Saccharomyces cerevisiae S288C: one gene and its partners. Changing the gene in region 2 together with the main gene of any one other region gives a genetic interaction. Each region holds a gene or a part of one and is shown on either strand. Other genes may lie near its edges.

The links.
Region 1: of MRS3 (region 2) and MRS2, extra expression of one rescues a mutant of the other (dosage rescue), as found in Saccharomyces cerevisiae (2 studies listed by BioGRID).
Region 3: mutations in MRS3 (region 2) and DRE2 are lethal when combined (synthetic lethality), as found in Saccharomyces cerevisiae (one study listed by BioGRID).
Region 4: of MRS3 (region 2) and ATM1, extra expression of one is lethal in a mutant of the other (dosage lethality), as found in Saccharomyces cerevisiae (one study listed by BioGRID).

The regions. Positions count from the first base shown.
Region 1 is NC_001147.6:942,700-948,915, forward strand, and holds MRS2 (Mrs2p), read left to right. Parts: upstream 1-1,896; coding exon 1,897-3,309; downstream 3,310-6,216. Other genes in the region: DNA-directed DNA polymerase gamma MIP1, read right to left, coding at 1-686; VMA4 (H(+)-transporting V1 sector ATPase subunit E), read left to right, coding at 957-1,658; ALA1 (alanine--tRNA ligase), read right to left, coding at 3,534-6,216. UniProt on the Saccharomyces cerevisiae protein: High-conductance magnesium-selective channel that mediates the influx of magnesium into the mitochondrial matrix.
Region 2 is NC_001142.9:157,774-163,262, reverse strand, and holds MRS3 (Fe(2+) transporter), read right to left. Parts: upstream 2,645-5,489; coding exon 1,700-2,644; downstream 1-1,699. Other genes in the region: YJL132W (uncharacterized protein), read right to left, coding at 1-1,349; DPI8 (Dpi8p), read left to right, coding at 3,416-3,640; sphinganine kinase LCB3, read right to left, coding at 3,846-5,075. UniProt on the Saccharomyces cerevisiae protein: MRS3 suppresses a mitochondrial splice defect in the first intron of the COB gene. It may act as a carrier, exerting its suppressor activity via modulation of solute concentrations in the mitochondrion (possibly of cations).
Region 3 is NC_001143.9:572,894-578,609, reverse strand, and holds DRE2 (electron carrier DRE2), read left to right. Parts: upstream 1-2,629; coding exon 2,630-3,676; downstream 3,677-5,716. Other genes in the region: YKR073C (uncharacterized protein), read left to right, coding at 103-423; phosphopantothenoylcysteine decarboxylase complex subunit SIS2, read left to right, coding at 487-2,175; YKR070W (uncharacterized protein), read right to left, coding at 3,978-5,036; MET1 (uroporphyrinogen-III C-methyltransferase), read right to left, coding at 5,217-5,716. UniProt on the Saccharomyces cerevisiae protein: Component of the cytosolic iron-sulfur (Fe-S) protein assembly (CIA) machinery required for the maturation of extramitochondrial Fe-S proteins.
Region 4 is NC_001145.3:866,027-872,897, reverse strand, and holds ATM1 (ATP-binding cassette Fe/S cluster precursor transporter ATM1), read left to right. Parts: upstream 1-3,270; coding exon 3,271-5,343; downstream 5,344-6,871. Other genes in the region: YME2 (Yme2p), read left to right, coding at 273-2,825; ADE4 (amidophosphoribosyltransferase), read left to right, coding at 5,807-6,871. UniProt on the Saccharomyces cerevisiae protein: Performs an essential function in the generation of cytoplasmic iron-sulfur proteins by mediating the ATP-dependent export of Fe/S cluster precursors synthesized by NFS1 and other mitochondrial proteins. Hydrolyzes ATP.

The DNA of each region.
Region 1 (6,216 bases), on a different chromosome or scaffold from region 2:
TACGCAACATTGTGACCAATTATTACTTGCTCTTTATTCAATGTGTTTAGGGGTATCAGTGCAGCAGGATCATCACCACCACATATGAACGGCGAACACCAAAGGTACCACGCCGTCGATGACAAGGCCGTGGCCAAAGTCGGATAGTCAGAGACGTTATAGAGTGTTTCTACATCAAACACCACCAGCTCTTCGTCTGGGTATGCCACTTCGACGGGTGCCATTCCAGGTACGTATTTAACCCAGCCTGGCTTCCGCAGCCATTCCGCCGGTCGTGCCACCATCTCCGTGAACTTGTCCTCGCAAAAACTCTTGTACGGTTCAGAATTGAAACGCCCAATCTTCTGGAAATGCTCATCTAGCGACCTGCCTTGTAGTGGCGGCAGAGGAAACGATATTGGATCCGTGATGAGCGTCTTCTTCCCCCACAACCCATGGTCCTTTAGCGACTTTTTCGATAACTCCATAAGTTTGTCGCTTTGCTCCACCTCATCTTTACCACCGCAACTACCAAATACCTGTCTTTGCAAAGACTCACCTAAATACTGTATCCCCACAGGATTAATCCTGGGTGCTTCTGCGGTATTCTTCTTTGTGGAGAACCATCGAGCACAAAACTGCACACGCAGCGGCCGCCGCCGCACCATTCGCAGCATGCATTCAGATCTAACCATCAATTTCGTCATACTTGTCCCTCGTTGCTCAACAACTACATATAATCCCCATCTCGACCTCTTCTTTAGAACCGTTCTTTCGTAGTCCATACCTATTGTTGTTTACTGAGTATCGGCTAAAAGTGCGCCCGAGGTCACCCGCCACGGAGAGGGGCGAAAGCGGCCATTTCGATAAGAACTCACGCTATATATCAGCAAAGAACAATAGCAGTTGCAAGAAAAGTTGTTTGTAACTGTTTTACAAAAGAGGCACAGAACAGGCCACGCACCATCCGATACAGCATGTCCTCCGCTATTACTGCTTTGACACCAAACCAAGTGAACGATGAATTGAACAAGATGCAAGCTTTCATCAGAAAGGAAGCTGAAGAAAAAGCGAAGGAAATCCAATTGAAGGCTGACCAAGAGTACGAAATCGAGAAGACCAACATCGTAAGAAATGAAACCAACAACATTGACGGCAACTTCAAGAGCAAGTTGAAGAAGGCCATGCTTTCGCAACAGATTACTAAGTCAACGATAGCAAACAAAATGAGGTTGAAGGTTCTTTCTGCTCGTGAACAGTCGCTAGACGGGATATTCGAGGAAACCAAGGAAAAGTTGTCAGGAATTGCCAACAACCGGGACGAGTACAAGCCCATTTTGCAATCATTGATCGTGGAGGCACTTTTGAAGTTGTTGGAACCTAAGGCGATTGTCAAGGCTCTTGAAAGAGACGTCGATTTAATCGAGTCGATGAAGGACGACATTATGCGTGAGTATGGGGAAAAGGCCCAGCGCGCACCATTGGAAGAGATTGTTATCTCCAATGATTACTTGAACAAAGACCTTGTTTCCGGCGGTGTTGTGGTCTCCAATGCATCAGACAAGATTGAAATTAACAACACTTTGGAGGAAAGATTGAAATTGTTAAGTGAAGAGGCATTGCCCGCCATCAGATTGGAATTGTATGGTCCTTCCAAGACAAGAAAGTTCTTTGATTGATCGACCAGCAGCTTGTATACCTACATACTTACATATACACTCCTAACAGATTTTTTTTTGTATGTTGTTCTTTCCTCTGTGGTGGTCCAGTCTTTTGTCTCTTTTTTTTTTTCTTCTTTTTTTTTTTTTTTTTTTTTTTTGCAGCATTATGATAGAACAATAGGGCTCAAGATCGCACCAAGGCTAACAGTAACGGTATACGCAATCGTAGTGAAAGTGATTTTCAATCAAGCATCTCATGAATCGGCGTCTCCTGGTACGTTCTATATCTTGTTTCCAACCTTTGTCGAGAATAACTTTTGGAAGACCAAACACGCCATTTCTTAGAAAGTATGCTGACACATCCACTGCTGCAAACACCAACAGCACCATATTGCGGAAACAGTTACTATCGTTGAAGCCCATTTCTGCCTCTGATTCACTGTTCATTTCGTGTACGGTATTCAATTCTAAGGGAAATATTATCTCAATGTCCGAGAAGTTTCCTAAATGGTCCTTTTTAACTGAACATTCCCTTTTCCCCAGAGACCTGAGGAAAATAGATAACTCCTCTATTGATATTATTCCAACCATCATGTGTAAGCCAAACTGTATTGTCATCAACTTATTGCATATCAAAGCTCTTATCGAACGAGATAAGGTCTACGTCTTCGATACAACAAACCCTTCCGCCGCTGCCAAACTGAGTGTACTTATGTATGACTTGGAGTCTAAGTTGTCCTCCACCAAGAATAACTCTCAATTTTACGAGCATAGAGCCCTCGAGAGTATTTTCATCAACGTAATGAGCGCACTGGAAACAGATTTCAAGCTTCACTCACAAATCTGTATTCAAATCTTAAATGATCTGGAAAACGAGGTCAATAGACTTAAACTGCGGCATCTTTTAATTAAGTCCAAAGATCTTACGCTTTTTTACCAAAAAACTTTATTGATTAGAGATCTATTAGATGAACTATTAGAAAACGACGATGATTTAGCAAACATGTACTTGACAGTTAAGAAGTCTCCTAAGGACAATTTTTCGGACTTGGAAATGCTTATAGAGACGTACTACACCCAATGTGATGAATACGTTCAGCAATCAGAATCTTTGATTCAGGATATCAAATCTACTGAAGAAATTGTCAACATCATATTGGACGCAAATAGAAATTCCTTAATGTTGTTGGAGTTGAAAGTTACCATCTACACGTTGGGATTCACAGTAGCATCTGTTCTGCCGGCATTCTATGGTATGAATTTAAAGAATTTCATCGAGGAGAGTGAATGGGGGTTTACTTCAGTGGCGGTATTTTCTATTGTTTCTGCCCTTTATATCACCAAGAAAAATTTTAATTCTTTAAGATCCGTGACAAAGATGACCATGTATCCAAACTCACCCGCAAACTCCAGTGTGTATCCTAAAACATCAGCGTCTATTGCCCTGACAAATAAACTAAAGCGAAGGCGGAAGTGGTGGAAATCAACCAAGCAGCGGTTGGGAGTGCTACTTTATGGCAGCAGCTACACTAATAAGGCTAACCTGTCGAATAATAAGATTAATAAAGGTTTTTCAAAGGTGAAGAAATTTAACATGGAGAATGATATTAAGAACAAGCAGAACAGAGATATGATTTGGAAATGGTTGATAGAAGACAAGAAAAATTGAAAGGCGATTATCATGATAAACTATACAATATTATTAGCATAAACCTGTATATATACATATGTAAGAAAAAAGGGTATTTAAAACTCTTTTTAACAGCAAATCTTTTGTCCTTGTAAAAACATAAATAATTAAACTAAGACTAATTATACAATGACACTTTTTTATTAAGAGCAAAATAAACAAAAAGAACTCCTATGCATTATTTTTCGTTTTATTTTAACTTCTTAAATGGAAAGCTTCTCCTTGAACAAACTTTCCAAATCATCAACTGCATCCTTTATAGCGGCTGGTTTATCACCCATACCTTGGAAAACATTACCTTTACCACCAGCCTTACCGCCGATGATACTGGACACCTTTTTGGCAAGCGCAGAACCATCAATACCCTTGGCTAAAGCAGCATTGGAGATGTAACAACCGTGAGCAACACGACCTTCAGGGTCATTACCTGCCAATAAATAGATTGACTTGTCTTTGACAGAATCATTGGATTTCATGTAGTTGATCGCTTCAGTGATAGCTTTAGCATTTGGAGAAATATCAATGAATTTAACTAGGTATGGAGCATTCTCATTGGTTTCGAAAAATGTCTTCACTTCATCAAGAGTTTGTTTGTTTTCTTTTTTGGCCCTTGACTTAACTTCATCCTTCACTGCTTTTTCAATTTTGTTAAATTTCTGCTTCAGTTCATTTTTTGTGATAACAGAAATTGAAAGTTGACCAAGTTTGACACCAAGTTCCTTCAACTTCTTTTCTTTGATTGGAGAGAACGGCAGCTTGTCTGCAGCATCCAAATCAGCAGCAAACTGTTCAGCCAATCTTTGAGCTTCAAAGGCTTCAGTTCCAGTAACAGCAACAATTCTTCTGATACCCTTTGCAATACCGCTCTCTTCTAAAATGACGAAGTATTTAATATCGCCTGTCTTGTTGACATGGGTACCACCGCAAAATTCAATAGAATACTTGGTCCACTCTTCGTTAGCTGGGTTGGCCAACAATTCTTCGATTGGCTTACCAACAGAAACTACACGAACTGGATCTGGGTAAGTCTCACCAAAGACAGCACGAACACCATCAATGGATTTGGCCAAGTCCAATGGAATTTCCTTGTAAAACACTTGTAAGTTTTCTTTAATTTGCTCATTACAGATATCTTCAACTTTTTTCAATTCTTCATTTGACACAGCCTTTTTATGAGAGAAATCGAATCTCAATTTTTCTGGGGCAACCAAAGAACCCTTTTGATCGACATCATTACCCAAAGTTTCCTTCAGAGCAAAGTTTAAGATATGTGTACCAGTATGATTGTTCTTAATAGGGAAACGACGTAGTTCATCGAATGAAGCGATAATCTTGTCACCGACAGACAACTTACCTTCTTCTAAAGACCCGGTGTGGAAAACAAAACCGTTATACAATTGAACATTTTCAACATTAAACTCAGCAGCGTCATCAATAACAATTTTACCAGTGTCATATTCTTGACCACCTTGTTCGGCGTAGAAACATGTTTTATCCAAAATAATACCGTACTTCTTACCTGGTTCAGTGATCTCATCAACAAAGTTGGTACCGTCATGCAGTTTCAAAATGGTACCTTCGACGTTGGCGCTGCCGTATTTGAATTCATCATTAGTCTTGGGCACCTTAGCATCGTTCAACTCGGATAATTCATGGACGTTTAACTTAATCAAATCACTTTGGTCCTTCTTACCACCTCTTTTGGATGCTTCGTATGACTCTTGTTTGGCCTTTTCGAAACCGGGTCCATCAATCTTCAAGCCTTGTTCTTCAGCCATCAATTCAGTCAAGTCGACTGGGAAACCATAAGTGTCGTAAAGTCTCCAAACTTGTTTACCGTCTAAAGTCTTAGATTCAGTCTTAGAAGCAGCAGAAGCATATTTTTCAAATAGTCTTTCACCACGATCCAAGGTCTTAGCGAAAGAAGCTTCTTCTTCATCCAAGATTTCAAAGAGGAATGCAGGATCCTTGGCTAATTCGGGAAAGATATCTTGAACCTGAGAAATTAAAGTTGGAGCCAAAGTGGAGAAAAAGTTACCGATTGGGTAATTCATGTATTTACGGGCGTAACGGGCACCTCTTCTTAGAATGCGTCTCAAAACATATCCTCTACCTTCATTGTTTGGAACGCCACCGTCAGCTAAGGCAAAAGTCAATGTACGGACATGATCAGCTAAAACTCTGTAGGCAGTATCGATACCGTCCTTGTCATTCTCACCAAAATTGCCAGAATATGGTCTAACTGAAGTGATTTCTTGGATACGCTCGAACAAAGGTGTGAAAACATCGGTATCATAGTTAGATCTAACATCTTGCAGAACAGAAACCAATCTTTCGAACCCCATACCTGTGTCGATATGCTTGGCAGGTAAAGGCTTCAAAGACCCGTCTTGTTCTCTGTTGAATTGAATGAAAACCAAATTCCAAACTTCCAAGACATCAGGGTCGTCCATATTAACCAAGGAAGCAGCATTTCTACCACCTATTCTATCGTAGTGAATTTCAGAACAAGGACCACATGGGCCTTGGTCACCCATTTCCCAAAAGTTGTCCTTTGCATTACCAGGTAATATATGGTCATCGGGAACACCAACATTTTTCCATAGTTCACGGGCTTCAGTATCAGGTTCCAAGCCTAACTTTTCATCACCTTCAAAATAGGTAACGTATAATCTATCCTTTGGAATGCCGTATACTTCAGTCAACAAAGTCCATGAGTAAGTAATAGCTTCCTTCTTGAAATAGTCGCCAAACGACCAGTTACCCAGCATTTCAAAAAAGGTATGATGATAAGAATCCTTACCGACATCTTCTAAATCGTTGTGTTTACCACCAGCTCTGATACACTTTTGAGAGTTGTAAGCCCTTTTCAAGGTGTAGAAATCG
Region 2 (5,489 bases):
AAATTACCTGTTACAGCAAATTGTAACTGATGTGCTTCTTCGGTGGTCTCATCCTTGATTGTCAGTATTTTTACTCCTTTGAAGTAAAAGTCGATTGTACAGGTACCAGGCTGTGAAACGAGTAGGTAGTCAACATCACTTGCCTTGTATGTCCCGACCTTTGAACCGTACATGGCAGTGATGGGTTGTAAAATGCTAAAATCCTCTTTTCTTGCTACAGTTAGAATATCCCATGGAACTATATAGATTGCACCAACTGTGTCTTCAAGTGGTGCACTTACAGCGAGATAATCCTTGTTGTCTTCTCGAAATTTTCCCATAGTCAGGCTTGTGCCAAAATCGGAAAATGATTTCATGGGAGATACGACAATGTGGCTATTTCCCTTACGTGCTTTTAATGAAGAGACCAAAGGTCGTGCATTTATCCGTTTTTGTGATACTGGCGGTAAATTAGCACATAATCTCAGTTCTTCTGCTTGAGCTTCATTAGTATTCTCGTCATGAAACAAAGTCTCGAAGAAAGGCACGCATCTTTGGAGCATTGCAACCAAATTGGACTGCCCTCCTAGCCAATGATTCAGTATTAGATCATTAGCCCTGGGGGATGTTGAGTAAATATTAGTTAACAATTGGTTTCTTTGAGAGCGGAATAGGTACCCTTCACTAATAGCCGCTGCCATTCCTCTTTTAACGCAAAATTCCAGTTCTGCGTAGGACAACTTTTCCTTTGAAAGTCCAGCGTTCCTTATAATTTCCATTAAATCCTCTTCTCTGGGCAATTTCCAATCAGAGCGAGTTAAAAAATCCCAATTTTCGTTATTATTACTGTCACGGATTACATTATTTAAGGTGAGGAATTCACCCATAACGTCTAAAAACGTATGAGCAGTTTCAATATCTCCATCAAATTCTGTTTCGCTGAGAACTCGGAGTAGTCCGTGCATTCTATAATCGGTAACTAACGAATGCCAGGAAACATCAACTATCTGATGAGTGAATACCCCTATTAAAAATGACTTTAGTGCGAGTGAGCCGTGAGTTCCCCGAAGTCGATCGTTCTGACCATACTTTTGCTGCCAATAAGATACTGCAATCATTAAGAAATTGGGCCAATGAGTGAATTCTGCAAAATCAGACCAATCCTTATTTGAAGGTGCACATGAGTACAAAGCATCCGGAAAGAAAGAACCAGCTTTCAACCAAGGATAATAGTTTTCCTTTAAACTTAAGGGAGCACCTCTTGTTAAATAAAATAGATGGGTAGTAACTCCAGCAGCTTGCAATTTTGTTACAATAGAAGTAGTTAAGCAAATAATAGAGACAAGTAACCAAGAACTAATTATACTCATCTTTATTTAATTCCCTCTGAATACATGTTTCTAACTAACTAACCAAGGAGGGCGCTTGAATGAATCTTTTTTTTTTTTAGAAATAGATTTACCACTCTTAGAGTTTCCGCTATAAATAATGGCAGCTTGCCTGCGTCCGAAATACCCTTTGGGTATACTAAACATAGATATATAAAGTAATGAAGAAAAAATGAAAACTTTTCGTTGAGGGAAAGAGCTCAAGCTTTGGGATTATCAAATTAAATTTGTATATATAAATGTACATAAAGTCACAACAGGAAAATGATAATATACACATAATCTTCTGAGATGCAAAATGAATGGAAAATAATATGACATGTAAGAACCAACTAATACGTCATTAGGAAATGTTTTGCACATTCATAAGCTGTCCATGATATAGCAGTAGCCGGCATGTTTGCCACTATCCTTGGTTTCCAACCTCTCCAAAACCCTTTCCAGCCATAAACTTGATATATGGCACTGGCTGCTTTACTAAAAGTATCCGCCTTTCTCATAATTTCCAACGAAACTGTTTGACTGCCCCTTATCTGCAGTACTGTCTTTATGCAGTCTAAAGGTGTTGTGATCGCCGCACATGTCGATCCGCTGATACTGCCACACAGACAATGTATGAGGGGGTTGTACTCATTTGATGGGTTTAAAAATTTTGTGGATGATTCATATATGACGAAATTAAATGCTGCAAATGGGATGTTCATTACTAGGGTGGTTGGGTAAGAATAATAAAATGCTGCCAAACCTTCAGATTGGTAAATCTGCTTTGTGGTTTGCCATACTGATGCCGAGGTATTGAGTTGGATTCTCTGTTTTATTGTGTCGAATGGGTTCATTAATGCGTCAGATGCCGTGGTGGCACAGGCACCACTGATAGCTGTCTTAAAAGGATGGTGCGTTTGCGTATCACTCGAATCGATAAGATTTTTTTTGCAGAACTCATACGTACCAAAATACACTGCATGCGCAGGTCCCGCACCTAGTATGACAGACTGAACACCCTTCCATAGGGCTAGAGTTCCTTCGGAAGTAGAGATGTGAGATATTTGCGAAAGCATATTCTTGGCAGACAGCGATTTCGCGTTGGCTGATTGTATTCGCGTCTTAAGGGCATCTATCGGGAACATCACTGAATGTTCCATTATACCAGCAAATGCACCCGCTATAAGTTGATGGTACAATGGCGCGTGGGTGGGGAGCGCCTCATAATCGGGTAGATCCATAGGTATTGCTGGAATTGGCCTTGTTGAATTATTACTCGACGAGTTTTCTACCATAATATCTTCTTTTTTTATAACATAAATATATTTACAGCAAACCTTAAGAGGTGTTAACGAATATGGGAATCGTGATTAATTAAGTGAAGTTACGATCCCAAGATAAAATAAGGAAGTTGTTGAAAGAGGAAAGAATCGATGAAGAAATGAACGACAAAATTACTTTTGTCAATTGTAGGGTACGAAACACCAAGAAATGCAATAAGTGCTATGTAAAGGTGATCCAGTCTTGGTTAGCACACACGCCCAGTTTCTCGAGAGACATAATGACAGTAAACGGTGAGTATAAAAAAAAAGCAAAAAAAAAAGAAAAAAGGAGCAATCGTTCGTTACAAACGATCTAGACTTGATGAAAAAAAACCCTAAAATGTCTCAGACCTAAAACAAAACCCTAAGAAGCACGTGATACAAACCTGTCACGTGCAACATTATGGGGTATGGGTGTGTCACACATTTGAAAAAAAGTGGGCGGAACGTGTGTGGGGGGGTGTCATGCCATTTCCACATTTGGTTGCTCTGGAGATAAGATCCACGAATGAAGGTGAGGGGCATGACTTCAGGGATCAATTTCCCGCCCGCAAGTTAGTTTTTCCGGTGGGAGCCGAGCATCAAGCATGACCACTTCCTGGTGCAGAGAGAAAGTTTCACACATATAAAAGAATAAACCGAAAGTAATGTAGGGAGATGTTTAATGTGATTTTTCACCTTTGTTTTAATGATTACGCACAAGTTTAAATATTACATTCATAAGACAGTAAATAAACGTATTAAATGATCGCCCAAAGTACCAGATTAGCCGCCGCCGTCTCTTCTTCAGCCGCCTCCGCGGGTGTCTCAAGGATAGCCGCTAGCGCCATGGCCAGCACTATTTTCAAGAGATCTCCGGGCAACTCGTTCAACTCTTTTAAGGAATATAGAGAAAATGCCAAGACATATGGTCCCTTGAGTGCCTCACTAGCTACCAGAAGACACTTGGCTCACGCGCCAAAGTTGTAGGCGTATCTTAATTATGCTCTTTTCTTTCCTGGTTTATTAATGATGATGACTTTAACCTATTCTTCTTTTGGGGTCCTGGTACGGTGCCTCAAATTTTTATACAACATGACTTTTTCAGTTACATATTTTTTTATAAGTACTTAATTTAGAAACGGATACATTTACACTACATTTTGTCTATTTTTTTTTTTTTGTTCCTTTTGTTTTATGCTATATTTAAGAGGGAAAATAGGACGGGGCTGCACATTACAACGGTGAATGGAACGCCAGCATAGATAATAAATCTACCTAGAATGTCAATCTTGGGCTCTCCAATATATAATGGACATTCGTACTTGCTTGCACCTTCTTTGTGCGTGGCCTCCAGTCTTTTTCTTGCCGCAACGTTTCTGTCATCCTTCAGATGGAAAACTTTGATCAATAACGTGTAGATCATCGGTTTGCTGATCACGTACTTCCAGATAACAACGCACGGTAGGCCCACCAGCAGCCTGGCTAAGGTTAACCGCCAGCCACAGTTAGGTTCCAAATTGTACACCAGGGTGACTCCAAACACTTTGCCCAACCAATCACAGCATTCAATACCTGACACAACGCCCATGAACGCAACACTATCTTGGAAGCAAGGACATTCGTCTACGGGCTTAACATGTTTAAACAAAAGAAGAAGACCCCATCCCACACTAAACAAAGGAAACCACCAATGCTCCTCAATGCGTAAACCCGGAAACCTGTACTTGAAATACATCCTAACAATGAAACACACTATTCCAATGAGCCCACCGCTTACTAAATCTAATATGCCATGCATCCCACAGTATATTCTACCGAAAACCAAAGTCATATAATAAAATAAAACCACACATGACAACAATAGTTGGACCATGACAGAAGATTCTTGCATCCTCCAGATGTTGTAGAGAAACAAGAGACTCACTCCTGTTGCATTTGCTGTATGGGAGCTTGGAGCACCATATTCCTTCGTTGTATATTCACTTAACGTAATTCGATGTAATGGAGGTGCTCTAGGCCTGGGCAAGCACCAGTAATCTTTAAAAAAACCACTCAAGTAGATAGAATATCCCAAGATATAAACCATATCTTTTGTTGTTTCAAAATATCCAAACCACACGGGCATAGGTAAACACAGAACATAGAAGGTATGCGATCCCATTAAGGAAGTATAAGTAAAGTAGAGATCATTAAACGCAGAACGGTACTTCTTTTGCCAGCGGCTTAATGTGAATGATTGATTGTTGGTAAACACTAACAGCTTCTCTCTAATATTAAACCGAAATTTGGACATTCGAGTTCGAAAATGATCTGAGGGATGATTACCGGGATCCAGCAAGTAATTAGGCTCTTGAAAGTCATTGGGGTTAGAGAGAGTCCTGGCTCTTTTCCTAATGTTCGAGGTATTCAGTCCATCTACCATTTTTTATCTATACAAATGGCTTGTGTCCGCTGGTCTGGTAGGTTTGAAGAATTTCCTCTACGTGATGGTTGTATGTAAACAAACTTTCTTAAACTCTGCTTTTTCTTACTGCCCTTATAATGTGACGACAACTTTAGCGCAAGGTGAGGGAAAAACAAAACAGCCAAGCGTAGTTCAGTCACATGATAAAGGCAGTAGTTCAATTTGGTACTAAGAAACATTTTTTGCAACATTTTTGCCTTGTTATTCGTGAAATGAATATCTGGCGATATTTTGCACATATTTGGTTCCAACAATAGCTGGTTGAACATACATCTACTTAAGTTCTCTCTTCTTTTTTTTTCTCTTTCACTTTTCTACATATGTACTGTTGCCATAGTAACGTAAATTATGTAAAATACTTATCCGCATCAG
Region 3 (5,716 bases), on a different chromosome or scaffold from region 2:
TTCACGTGATCTAGAAACTTTAACGTGTTATATCATTCAAGGCGTAACTTATACGCGCGGGGTACCCTATCATATCTAACACACGTACCCTGGGTTAATGCCATGATCGTCTTTGATGTATCTCTAATGATCATTATTATTTTTTCTTTTGCTTTTAACATGAGTCAAAGCAATATTCTTATGTTATATAACTCACCCCATGTGCTCGTGGGCAGTGACGCACGCAACTTTTTCTCTTGCAAAAAATGGCATCGATGCTTTTCTGGGGAGGTGATATTAGAGGAGAAGAAGTCACAGAGTGCTCTTGGATCACGATCCCTCACTTGTACTTGTCCACTTATCAGCGCCGTCCAGTTACATTTGGAGAGATCTTTTTTTAGCCTGGCCTTCTTTGCTGTCATACTACTTTATATTCCGGGATAAAATATAAAGAAATATTAGTTAGGAAAAAATTAATAGGGAAGAAAGATCTAGAAGCAAACAGCAATGACTGCCGTCGCCTCTACTAGCGGGAAGCAAGATGCTGACCATAACCAGTCTATAGAGTGTCCAAGGTTTTCGCGTGGACAGAAAGAGATTTTGTTGGACCATGAGGATGCGAAGGGGAAGGATTCAATAATCAACTCCCCCGTGTCAGGGAGGCAATCAATAAGCCCTACTTTGTCGAATGCTACTACCACGACTACGAAATCTATTATGAATGCCACCGGCACCTCCGGCGCAGTAGTAAGTAATACTCCGGAGCCTGGTTTGAAGAGAGTCCCCGCCGTCACTTTCAGTGATCTAAAGCAACAGCAAAAGCAGGATAGTCTGACTCAGCTGAAGAACGACTCAGAAAGGACCAAGTCTCCAAATAGTAATCCTGCTCCTGTCTCAAATTCCATTCCTGGCAATCATGCAGTTATACCGAACCACACCAACACTTCAAGAACAACGCAATTATCTGGGTCTCCACTCGTCAACGAAATGAAAGATTATGATCCTAAGAAAAAAGACAGTGCTCTTAAAATAGTTGATACCATGAAGCCTGACAAAATCATGGCCACTTCAACGCCAATAAGTAGAGAAAATAATAAGGTAACCGCCAAAGCCCCCACCAGTATTACACTTCGAAAGGAAGATGCACAAGATCAAGCTAACAATGTTTCAGGCCAAATTAATGTGCGTTCTACCCCGGAAGAAACGCCAGTGAAGCAGTCCGTCATTCCTTCCATCATCCCCAAAAGAGAGAACTCCAAGAATTTGGATCCCAGACTACCTCAAGATGATGGAAAATTGCACGTGTTGTTTGGCGCTACAGGTTCGTTATCGGTATTTAAGATCAAGCCAATGATTAAAAAACTAGAAGAAATATATGGACGTGATAGAATAAGCATTCAAGTTATCCTCACTCAATCAGCAACACAGTTTTTCGAACAAAGATATACCAAGAAAATTATCAAATCTTCAGAAAAACTAAATAAAATGTCGCAGTACGAATCCACTCCGGCAACTCCAGTGACACCAACACCAGGACAATGCAACATGGCTCAAGTAGTCGAGTTACCCCCACATATTCAACTATGGACCGACCAAGATGAATGGGACGCATGGAAACAACGAACTGATCCTGTACTTCATATAGAACTACGTCGCTGGGCGGATATACTGGTAGTAGCTCCATTAACTGCAAACACATTATCAAAAATTGCTTTGGGCCTGTGCGACAATCTTCTGACAAGTGTCATTAGAGCTTGGAATCCGAGTTATCCCATTCTTTTGGCACCTTCTATGGTGAGTAGCACTTTTAATTCTATGATGACAAAGAAGCAACTACAAACGATAAAGGAGGAAATGTCCTGGGTCACTGTTTTCAAGCCGTCTGAGAAAGTTATGGATATAAATGGTGATATTGGTCTCGGGGGTATGATGGACTGGAATGAGATTGTTAACAAAATCGTTATGAAATTGGGTGGGTACCCAAAAAATAACGAGGAAGAGGACGATGATGAGGATGAGGAAGAAGACGACGACGAAGAAGAAGATACAGAAGATAAGAACGAAAACAACAACGATGATGATGACGATGACGACGATGACGACGACGACGACGACGACGACGACGACGACGACGACGATGATGACGAGGACGAGGACGAAGCAGAAACCCCAGGTATAATAGATAAGCATCAATAAATAGTCTATGAATTACAAATACACTAAACACATTCTACTTATTTGTGTTTTGTAATTTCTGGAAAAATACTCATTAGGCAAATTCACGCAGCATATTTACAAAATGTCACAAATTTTTTTCCTTTTTTACTTGCAGTAGGTATGTAATGCCATACTAGCGTACATAGAGCTCTTCATATAAACCGCTATTTATTACTAATTTTAATAATTCAGTAATTCATTAAATACATTCATTACTTTCTGGGTAAATATCTATTCGTTTCTCATTTTTCTTTTTTTGACATATCCCGGTACCGGAATAAGTCCGATACTATTCAAAAGCTTCTGGAAAAAAAAAATAAAAAAAAGAAATGATTAGTAATCATTTAATTTCATGACATATTAAAAAGGTATTCTAAGCAGAAGTCTTTCATCACATTTGATCTAAGCATATACACTGTAAGTGAAGGTATCGATGTCACAATACAAAACTGGTTTACTTTTAATACATCCGGCGGTGACTACAACGCCAGAGCTAGTAGAGAACACTAAGGCTCAAGCTGCATCAAAGAAAGTCAAGTTCGTGGACCAGTTTTTAATCAATAAACTAAATGATGGGTCCATAACTTTGGAAAACGCAAAATATGAAACAGTACACTATTTGACGCCAGAAGCCCAGACTGATATTAAGTTTCCGAAAAAGTTAATTTCTGTCTTAGCTGACTCATTGAAACCAAACGGCTCACTAATTGGTTTAAGTGATATTTATAAAGTAGATGCATTAATCAATGGGTTTGAAATAATTAACGAACCAGATTATTGCTGGATTAAAATGGATTCCTCTAAACTAAACCAAACTGTTTCTATACCACTGAAAAAAAAGAAAACGAACAATACTAAGCTACAGAGTGGTAGTAAGCTACCAACTTTTAAAAAAGCTAGTTCTTCAACCTCTAATTTACCCTCATTCAAAAAAGCAGATCACAGTAGGCAACCTATAGTTAAGGAAACAGACAGCTTCAAACCACCTAGTTTCAAAATGACCACTGAACCAAAAGTCTACCGAGTCGTAGACGACCTGATTGAGGATAGCGATGATGATGATTTCTCTAGTGACTCTTCCAAAGCCCAATATTTTGATCAAGTGGATACCAGCGATGATTCCATTGAAGAAGAAGAATTAATCGACGAGGATGGTTCTGGTAAGTCAATGATTACTATGATTACATGCGGTAAATCCAAAACTAAGAAGAAGAAGGCTTGTAAAGATTGCACCTGTGGTATGAAAGAACAGGAAGAAAATGAAATAAACGATATAAGATCTCAACAAGATAAAGTTGTCAAATTTACAGAAGACGAGTTGACCGAGATTGATTTCACTATCGATGGGAAGAAAGTTGGCGGCTGTGGTTCTTGTTCTCTAGGGGATGCCTTTAGATGTAGTGGTTGTCCCTACTTGGGTCTTCCTGCTTTCAAGCCTGGTCAACCTATCAATTTGGACAGCATTTCAGATGACTTGTAAACCCTGCACATTCGTTTCAGTAAATGACGTCAATTGGTCTACTTTGGTGAAGGTGAATTTTTTTAGATGCATTGATCGATTGACTTTGGTAGGTTACTAATTTTACCAAAAAGAGTTGGTAGTTTTTATTTTTTTAAATAGAAGAAAACAGGTACTCATTATACCGTGATTACCAATTTCCCAACCCATTATTTAACCCGTTATGTATATTGCATATATTTTGTAAAAGCGTTTAAGCTATTAATAAATCTATCATAACAGTACAGCTCAAAGGCAGGAAAAGATATTCCATAGTAGTCTTTCATGCGTACTTTTCTAACGTTTTAGTAACCGCATCAAATACATCATTCACGATCAAGGTAGGCTTACATTCCTTTAAGTCATCACCTTCGTTATACACACCTGTCTTCACCAAACAACTGTTCCAACCGTAATTTTGAGCTCCAATGATGTCACTTGCAGGATTATCACCTACCATAAAAACCGCATGGAATGGAGAAGTTGAAGGTTTCGTGCCTAAGAGTGGCAGTTTTTGCTTCACAGATTGGCCTATTTTCCCGCTTAGTCTTTTTTCCCAATCAATGAGAACATGATGAGCGAAATCATAAGTCAACTTTGTAGGCTTACCCAAAGTATAATCTTGCAAGGGTTCACCATTTAACTCGAGATAAAGCCTTCTAACTAGTAAGCGGAAGGCACCTTGTCCAAATCTATTCAATTTATAAGGATTGGCCCACAGTAAATCCTGGTTCGAAAAGTAAATGGGGATGGAAGGTTTGCCACTCTTTTCGTTTCTCAAGGTATTTAACATCCCATTTTCGCTGTTGATTGCATCTGAGATGATTTGTATATCGGCAGCCCAATCATGAGGATCGTTAAATACCAAGACGGCATCGAATTTCTTAGTGGTTAAATCTGGAATATCCCTTGAGTACTCCATCACTTGTTCATCAGATAGCCCACTAAATGGTGCAATGTCCCTATTGTATCTTACAATATCCGTTTGGTGAACAACATCTTGAAATCCGTAGCCTTCTGCAACGCCTCTCACGGAAGGTGTACCAACGGCCAAGATCCTTGAATATTTGTTAACAAGGGACTTGTAAGGAGTATGACTTTGAATAATTTGCAAGGGTGATACATCAACGTCCAATTTACTCGAGATAAACTCTGTCCGTGCCCTTTCAGAGAACCCTCCACCATTAGTGAGTAAAATATATGGAATTTTATTTCGGTTCAACAGCTTCAATGCGTCGCTGGCACCAGCAATTGGCTTTTTGCCCCTGAACAACACACCATCAATATCGAATGCAAAAGCAATCTTTTTACTTGTTGTTTGGAAAAACCGTTTGCCAATCATTCTCGCTGCTCTTTTGGCTTGCCAATATTTTGACGACTTGGTTGAAGGACCTTTTCGGGCCTCGGATACGTCCTTTTTGCTCAATATCCAGTGTTGATGAATCTAGAACATAATGCATACACGATTAACCTTAAAACTTTAACGTCAGCGTTTGAATGATATCTTGTCTTTATATACATATTAGTATAACTTAAATAGACTATCTACATCAACCTCAAATTCTCTAAAACCTTCATCAATGACAAATTTTCTTGATTCGTCAAAATTTATCAGATCTTTTTCAACCAATGCATTCACAGCCTTGCCTACAACCAAGACACCGGGGGGCCTTGAACCAATCTCCTCCACGACTTCTGGTACCCATTTAAGAAGAGTTCTAGTAACACGCTGGTCAGGGCACGATCCTCTCTCGACAATTGCAGCGGGGACATCACCATCCCAGCCATGCTTCAATAATCCCGTGATCAGAACGTTGGCGCGATGCAGTGCCATTAGAAAGACGGTGGTTCTGCTTTCAACAAATTCAGGAATTATAGGCAGAGCGCCCTTTCTCCCAGTCCCAGTACATATGAGCACTTGGTCTGCTATATCACGTTGAGTAGCGGGTATCTGAGCCAATACAGTACAAGCTAGGGATGAGCTTATGCCCGGTAAAACCACAGGAATATATCCGTGATCTT
Region 4 (6,871 bases), on a different chromosome or scaffold from region 2:
AATTCTATACGGATGTAATTTTTCACTTTTCGTCTTGACGTCCACCCTATAATTTCAATTATTGAACCCTCACAAATGATGCACTGCAATGTACACACCCTCATATAGTTTCTCAGGGCTTGATCAGGGTTCCGTAGATGGGAATTTGAGAAGTATAAGGGAGATAACGGTAATGTTATATTGAGAAAATGAAAGATGAACTCAGTATTGACAGGATCTAAAACCAAAATATAGCGGGCCTATACAGGAAGTAGTATTTGTAAAAGTAAACCATGTTGCTAGTACGAACGACTTCCCTGAATGTGTCAAGGATGCCAGTGCCATGCCTCGCCAGAGGAATAGGCATCCTCAAGGGCAAATATAGACTAGCGAACCTGATGAATGCCCAACCCTCAGTGAGACATGTGTCGAGCGAGATCCAGCAAAAGGATCAGCAGGCAGGAGAGTCAAACACCGCCACCGATACTGGTGTTATTCACAAATCAGATGAAGAAACTCTGATATATTTCGATAATGTTTACGCTAGAACCACCTCGGTTTGGAATCCAACACTGTGGTACAATCTCCTGCTAAGAAACCAGTCACGGGATGCAGTGAGGGAGAAAATAAGGAATTTAGCCAGTCCACCCAATAACCCCATTTATGGACTGGAGTTGAAGTCTACCATTCCAGTGAAAAGGGATGGTGGTGTATTTGCCACATTTGTCGTTCCACCCAAGTATACAAAAGCTCAGGTAAATTCTCTAATCCAACAGAATACAGCCAGAGAATCCTCTAAAAACTTACTCTCGTACTTCACTCGAGCTTCTGCCTTCCCAGTAAAGGGTTCGCCTTGGATTGAGGATTTAAGAAGACTACCAAGTACCACTATAGTCATCAAGTTCCAAGGGCCCGCCTTAACAGAAGAAGAAATATACTCTTTATTCAGAAGATATGGGACAATTATTGATATTTTCCCTCCCACTGCTGCTAACAACAATGTGGCAAAGGTAAGATACCGTTCATTCCGTGGTGCCATTTCTGCCAAGAATTGTGTTTCCGGTATCGAAATTCATAATACCGTCTTACACATACAATACGAAAATATCAGAAGAGGCCATCTAGTTAGTAATTTTTTCACCAACCATACAAGGATTGCTATTCCAGTTTTATTTGCGCTACTTTCAATCTTTGCTGTTTTAGTGTTTGATCCTATAAGAGAATTTTCGATTGAACAGAAGATCACTCACAAATATTCTTTATCGTGGGACAATAAGTTTTGGAAACAACTGAAAACGCTAACCTCATCTACCATGACTTCTATCAAGTACTACTGGGGCGGCCCTGATGATAATCACCAAAGAAAGCATTTATGGGAGGAAAGAATAGAGAAAGTGAATGACCTGAAAATGTGGCTTGAAGAAAATAATAATACTTTTGTGGTTATAAGGGGGCCTAGAGGTTCAGGGAAACATGATTTGGTCATGCAACACACTTTGCAAAATAGAGCAAATGTTTTGTATTTGGATTGTGATAAATTGATTAAGTCCAGAACAGATCCTATGTTTTTAAAAAATGCCGCTAGTCAATTGGGTTATTTCCCAATATTCCCATGGATTGACTCTGTCACAGGTGTCCTTGATTTAACAGTGCAAGGATTAACAGGGCAAAAAACTGGGTTGTCTGAGACGAAGGAATCTCGGTTTAGAAACATGTTAACTACCTCATTGATGTCCATTAGACGTATTGCTCTCAAGAATTACAAGGCTTTTGTTTCCACCGGTGATGGGACAGTTAATGTTAAGGAAGAAGATTACCTACAGCAACATCCGGAAGCTAAACCCGTTATCGTCATAGATAGGTTTGAGGGCAAGTCGGAAATAAATGGATTTGTGTATAAGGAACTATCCGATTGGGCAGCTATGCTAGTTCAAATGAATATTGCTCATGTGATTTTCTTAACGGAAACCGTTGCATCCAACCAAAGATTGAGCGAATCACTACCCAATCAAGTCTTCAAAAACCTAATCCTATCAGATGCCTCAAAAGAGAATTCGAGGAACTATGTATTATCCCAATTGGAGGATTACTTATATTACAATAAAAAATCCAAGGGTGAAAACGTAAAAGAACCTGAATCAGAAAAGGAAACTGCTGAAAATAATGATTCTGATAGTGAGGCCGATACGAGTGTCAAAAAAGCTGAGGTTATTTTAAATGAAAAGGAATTACAGGAAATTGACGCTTCTTTAGAGCCATTGGGTGGTAGGATGTTAGACTTACAGGCATTTGTAAGAAGGGTAAAGTCAGGAGAAGAGCCCTCGGAAGCAGTAGACAAAATGATTGAACAGGCTTCTGAGCAAATAACTCAAATGTTTTTAAGTGACAAGATTGACAGCAATAAAAGTGCACAAGCCTGGGAATTAATCGAATTATTGAGTGCGAACCCAGTCATTCCATTCCATGAAATCGTTAACAAGCCATTATTCAAAGCCGCACCAGAAACGGGAATCATGGAATTGGAGAATAATGGTTTAATAACTGTATCTAGAGATAGGGGTGTTTTACAGGAAATCAGGCCTGCCAAACCGCTATACAGGGCAGCATTCACATACTTGATCAACGATCCTGAACTCGCAAAAGTGCTAAAAACCCGTTACTTATTAAAGGTTGTGGGTTTTGAAACTGGTAGAATCAAGAAATGGGAAGAAGAATTAAAACCTTTGGGGAAAGTTCCTGATCAGAAACTTTTCAAGACCAGATTGGACTATTTATCCGGTAAAATCAATGCCAGTAATGCAGTCATTACCAAATGTGAAGAAGAAATTAAAAACCTATCTAAGTGATGAAACAAAACTTACTATTCTGCTTTTCTGTACATATGTGTAAACCCTATATTGCTATACTCATCTATATTCTTTTGAAAATGTATAAAAGTGACGATTGGAGATGGTGCAATTTTCTACGCAGCATGAAAAATATCTAAGGAAGGTAAGGTACATACCAAGTAAGTCTTATAATATGTTGTTGTACCTCACTTTACCATTCTTAAAGTCTTTAAAAGAAATTACCTTACCCAATTTGCACAGCAAAGGTCACTGACCTATACGTGCCCTTCATCAGATTACATCACGTGAAATTTCACTGGGAAAGAGCGCGAGGGCTTTCCGATGACTTTCTACATTAATAATCGCAAACAAAGCAATCAGCACAGCAAAGAGTACAATTTCGAAAATTGCGACAGAGCAACGTAAGTATATCGTTGTTGATAGATTCCACTCCAACCTGCAAATGCTGCTTCTTCCAAGATGTCCTGTAATTGGGCGAATTGTAAGATCAAAATTTAGATCTGGTCTAATCCGGAACCATTCGCCCGTTATATTTACTGTGTCTAAGTTATCAACCCAGCGGCCTCTGTTATTCAATTCAGCTGTGAATTTATGGAATCAAGCACAAAAGGATATTACGCACAAAAAATCCGTCGAGCAATTCTCGTCGGCTCCAAAAGTGAAGACTCAGGTAAAAAAGACCAGCAAGGCCCCAACCCTCTCGGAACTGAAAATCTTGAAAGATCTATTTCGCTATATTTGGCCCAAAGGCAACAATAAAGTGAGGATAAGGGTACTGATTGCCCTTGGACTGTTGATATCCGCCAAAATTTTAAATGTTCAAGTACCTTTTTTTTTCAAGCAAACTATTGATTCAATGAATATAGCATGGGATGATCCTACAGTCGCCCTTCCGGCAGCGATTGGATTAACCATTCTTTGCTATGGTGTTGCAAGGTTCGGCTCTGTTTTATTCGGCGAACTGAGGAACGCCGTATTTGCCAAAGTGGCACAGAATGCCATTAGAACTGTGTCGCTACAAACTTTCCAGCACCTTATGAAGTTAGATTTGGGATGGCACTTGAGTAGACAAACGGGTGGTCTGACGAGGGCCATGGATAGAGGTACAAAGGGTATATCTCAAGTGTTAACGGCCATGGTATTCCACATTATCCCTATAAGTTTTGAAATATCTGTCGTTTGTGGGATTTTGACGTATCAATTCGGTGCGTCATTTGCCGCAATAACATTCAGTACAATGCTTTTATACTCCATTTTCACTATAAAGACGACCGCATGGAGGACACATTTTAGAAGGGATGCTAACAAGGCCGATAACAAAGCTGCCAGTGTGGCTTTAGATTCTTTAATTAATTTTGAGGCGGTAAAATACTTCAACAATGAAAAATATCTTGCAGATAAGTATAATGGCTCCTTGATGAACTATCGTGACTCTCAAATTAAAGTATCGCAATCTCTAGCATTTTTGAACTCCGGCCAAAATCTAATTTTTACTACTGCCCTAACTGCAATGATGTATATGGGTTGCACCGGCGTTATTGGTGGCAACTTGACAGTTGGTGACTTGGTTCTAATTAATCAGTTGGTTTTTCAACTATCAGTACCGCTAAATTTTCTTGGTAGTGTTTACAGAGATTTAAAGCAGTCTCTGATTGATATGGAAACGCTATTTAAGTTAAGAAAAAATGAAGTCAAGATTAAAAATGCCGAACGTCCCTTAATGCTTCCAGAAAATGTTCCCTACGATATTACTTTTGAGAACGTCACGTTTGGATATCATCCCGATAGGAAAATTTTAAAGAATGCCAGCTTTACCATCCCAGCAGGCTGGAAAACCGCAATAGTTGGGTCTTCGGGCAGTGGGAAGTCCACCATTTTAAAATTAGTCTTTAGATTTTATGATCCTGAAAGCGGAAGGATCCTCATAAACGGTAGAGATATTAAAGAATATGACATCGATGCCTTGAGGAAGGTGATTGGTGTGGTACCACAGGACACACCACTTTTCAATGACACTATCTGGGAAAATGTAAAGTTCGGTCGTATTGACGCAACCGACGAGGAAGTGATAACTGTAGTTGAAAAAGCCCAGCTAGCACCCTTAATCAAGAAATTACCACAAGGTTTTGACACCATCGTCGGGGAGCGAGGGTTGATGATCAGCGGTGGTGAAAAGCAAAGGCTGGCAATTGCAAGGGTACTATTGAAGAATGCAAGGATCATGTTTTTTGACGAGGCCACAAGCGCCTTGGACACACACACAGAACAAGCTCTCTTACGAACCATTAGAGATAACTTTACTTCGGGTTCGAGAACGAGTGTATACATCGCACATAGACTGAGGACAATTGCAGATGCAGACAAGATCATAGTCCTTGACAACGGAAGAGTAAGAGAGGAAGGTAAGCATCTTGAACTGTTGGCTATGCCAGGGTCATTGTACCGCGAACTTTGGACCATACAAGAAGATCTGGATCATTTAGAGAATGAACTAAAAGACCAGCAAGAACTATGAACGCTCGTAAGTAAATATTGATTTATACATGTATAAGTTTTTCAAGATTTAAGGAAAAAAGAAAAGTTATTATCTTTCTCCGCGGTTTTTCAATGACCCGATGTATTGACTCTTCCTGACCGAAAATAACAGGACAGAGTTAGAACGAACATGAATAATAAAATATAATCTGGGATCATGAATCCGAATGACTGCTCATGCGGCAAATGTCAGAGCTTCGGTGTATTTAAAGTTTGCTTACTTACAATTTCAATAATAGGTTTGTACTTTTCAGATTCTTATTATTAAGTCAAGGTAAAGTCCTTCGTTTTTTTTTTTTTCATTTTAGAAAAATTTCAACAGCCACCGTACAATTTTATTCACTTTTAAGTCATAGTTGCGAAGACATCGTCTTGAAAGTAGTAGATTTCGTTCTAATAAGTTTAGCAAAGAAAGAGGTACAGCAAACAGCAGAATAGAAAAAATGTGTGGTATTTTAGGTATTGTATTAGCAAACCAAACCACTCCAGTAGCTCCGGAGTTATGTGATGGATGCATTTTTCTACAACATCGTGGACAAGATGCAGCTGGTATAGCTACCTGTGGTTCTCGTGGTAGAATCTACCAATGTAAAGGTAATGGTATGGCTCGTGACGTATTTACCCAACAACGTGTTTCCGGTCTTGCTGGTTCCATGGGTATTGCCCACTTGAGATATCCTACAGCCGGGTCTTCGGCTAATTCAGAAGCGCAACCATTTTACGTCAATAGTCCTTACGGTATTAACTTGGCACATAACGGTAACTTGGTGAATACTGCATCATTGAAGAGATATATGGATGAAGACGTTCATAGACATATTAACACGGACAGTGATTCGGAGTTACTATTGAATATTTTTGCTGCTGAACTGGAAAAACATAACAAGTACAGAGTTAACAATGAAGATGTTTTCCACGCGTTAGAAGGTGTTTACCGTTTATGCCGTGGCGGTTATGCTTGCGTTGGTTTACTTGCCGGTTTTGCATTATTTGGTTTCAGAGATCCAAATGGTATTAGGCCATTATTGTTCGGTGAAAGAGAAAATCCGGACGGCACTAAGGACTATATGTTAGCTTCAGAAAGTGTTGTTTTCAAAGCTCACAACTTTACTAAATATCGTGACTTAAAGCCTGGCGAGGCAGTTATCATCCCTAAGAACTGTAGCAAAGGTGAACCTGAGTTCAAACAAGTGGTTCCTATTAACTCTTATAGACCTGATTTATTTGAATACGTATATTTCGCCAGACCGGACAGTGTCTTGGATGGAATATCAGTTTATCACACAAGATTGGCTATGGGTTCTAAATTAGCGGAAAATATTCTAAAGCAACTGAAGCCAGAAGATATTGATGTTGTTATTCCCGTCCCAGATACTGCAAGAACATGTGCACTAGAATGTGCTAATGTGTTAGGGAAGCCTTATAGAGAGGGCTTTGTTAAAAACAGATACGTGGGCAGGACATTTATCATGCCAAACCAGAGGGAAAGGGTTTCTTCAGTAAGGAGG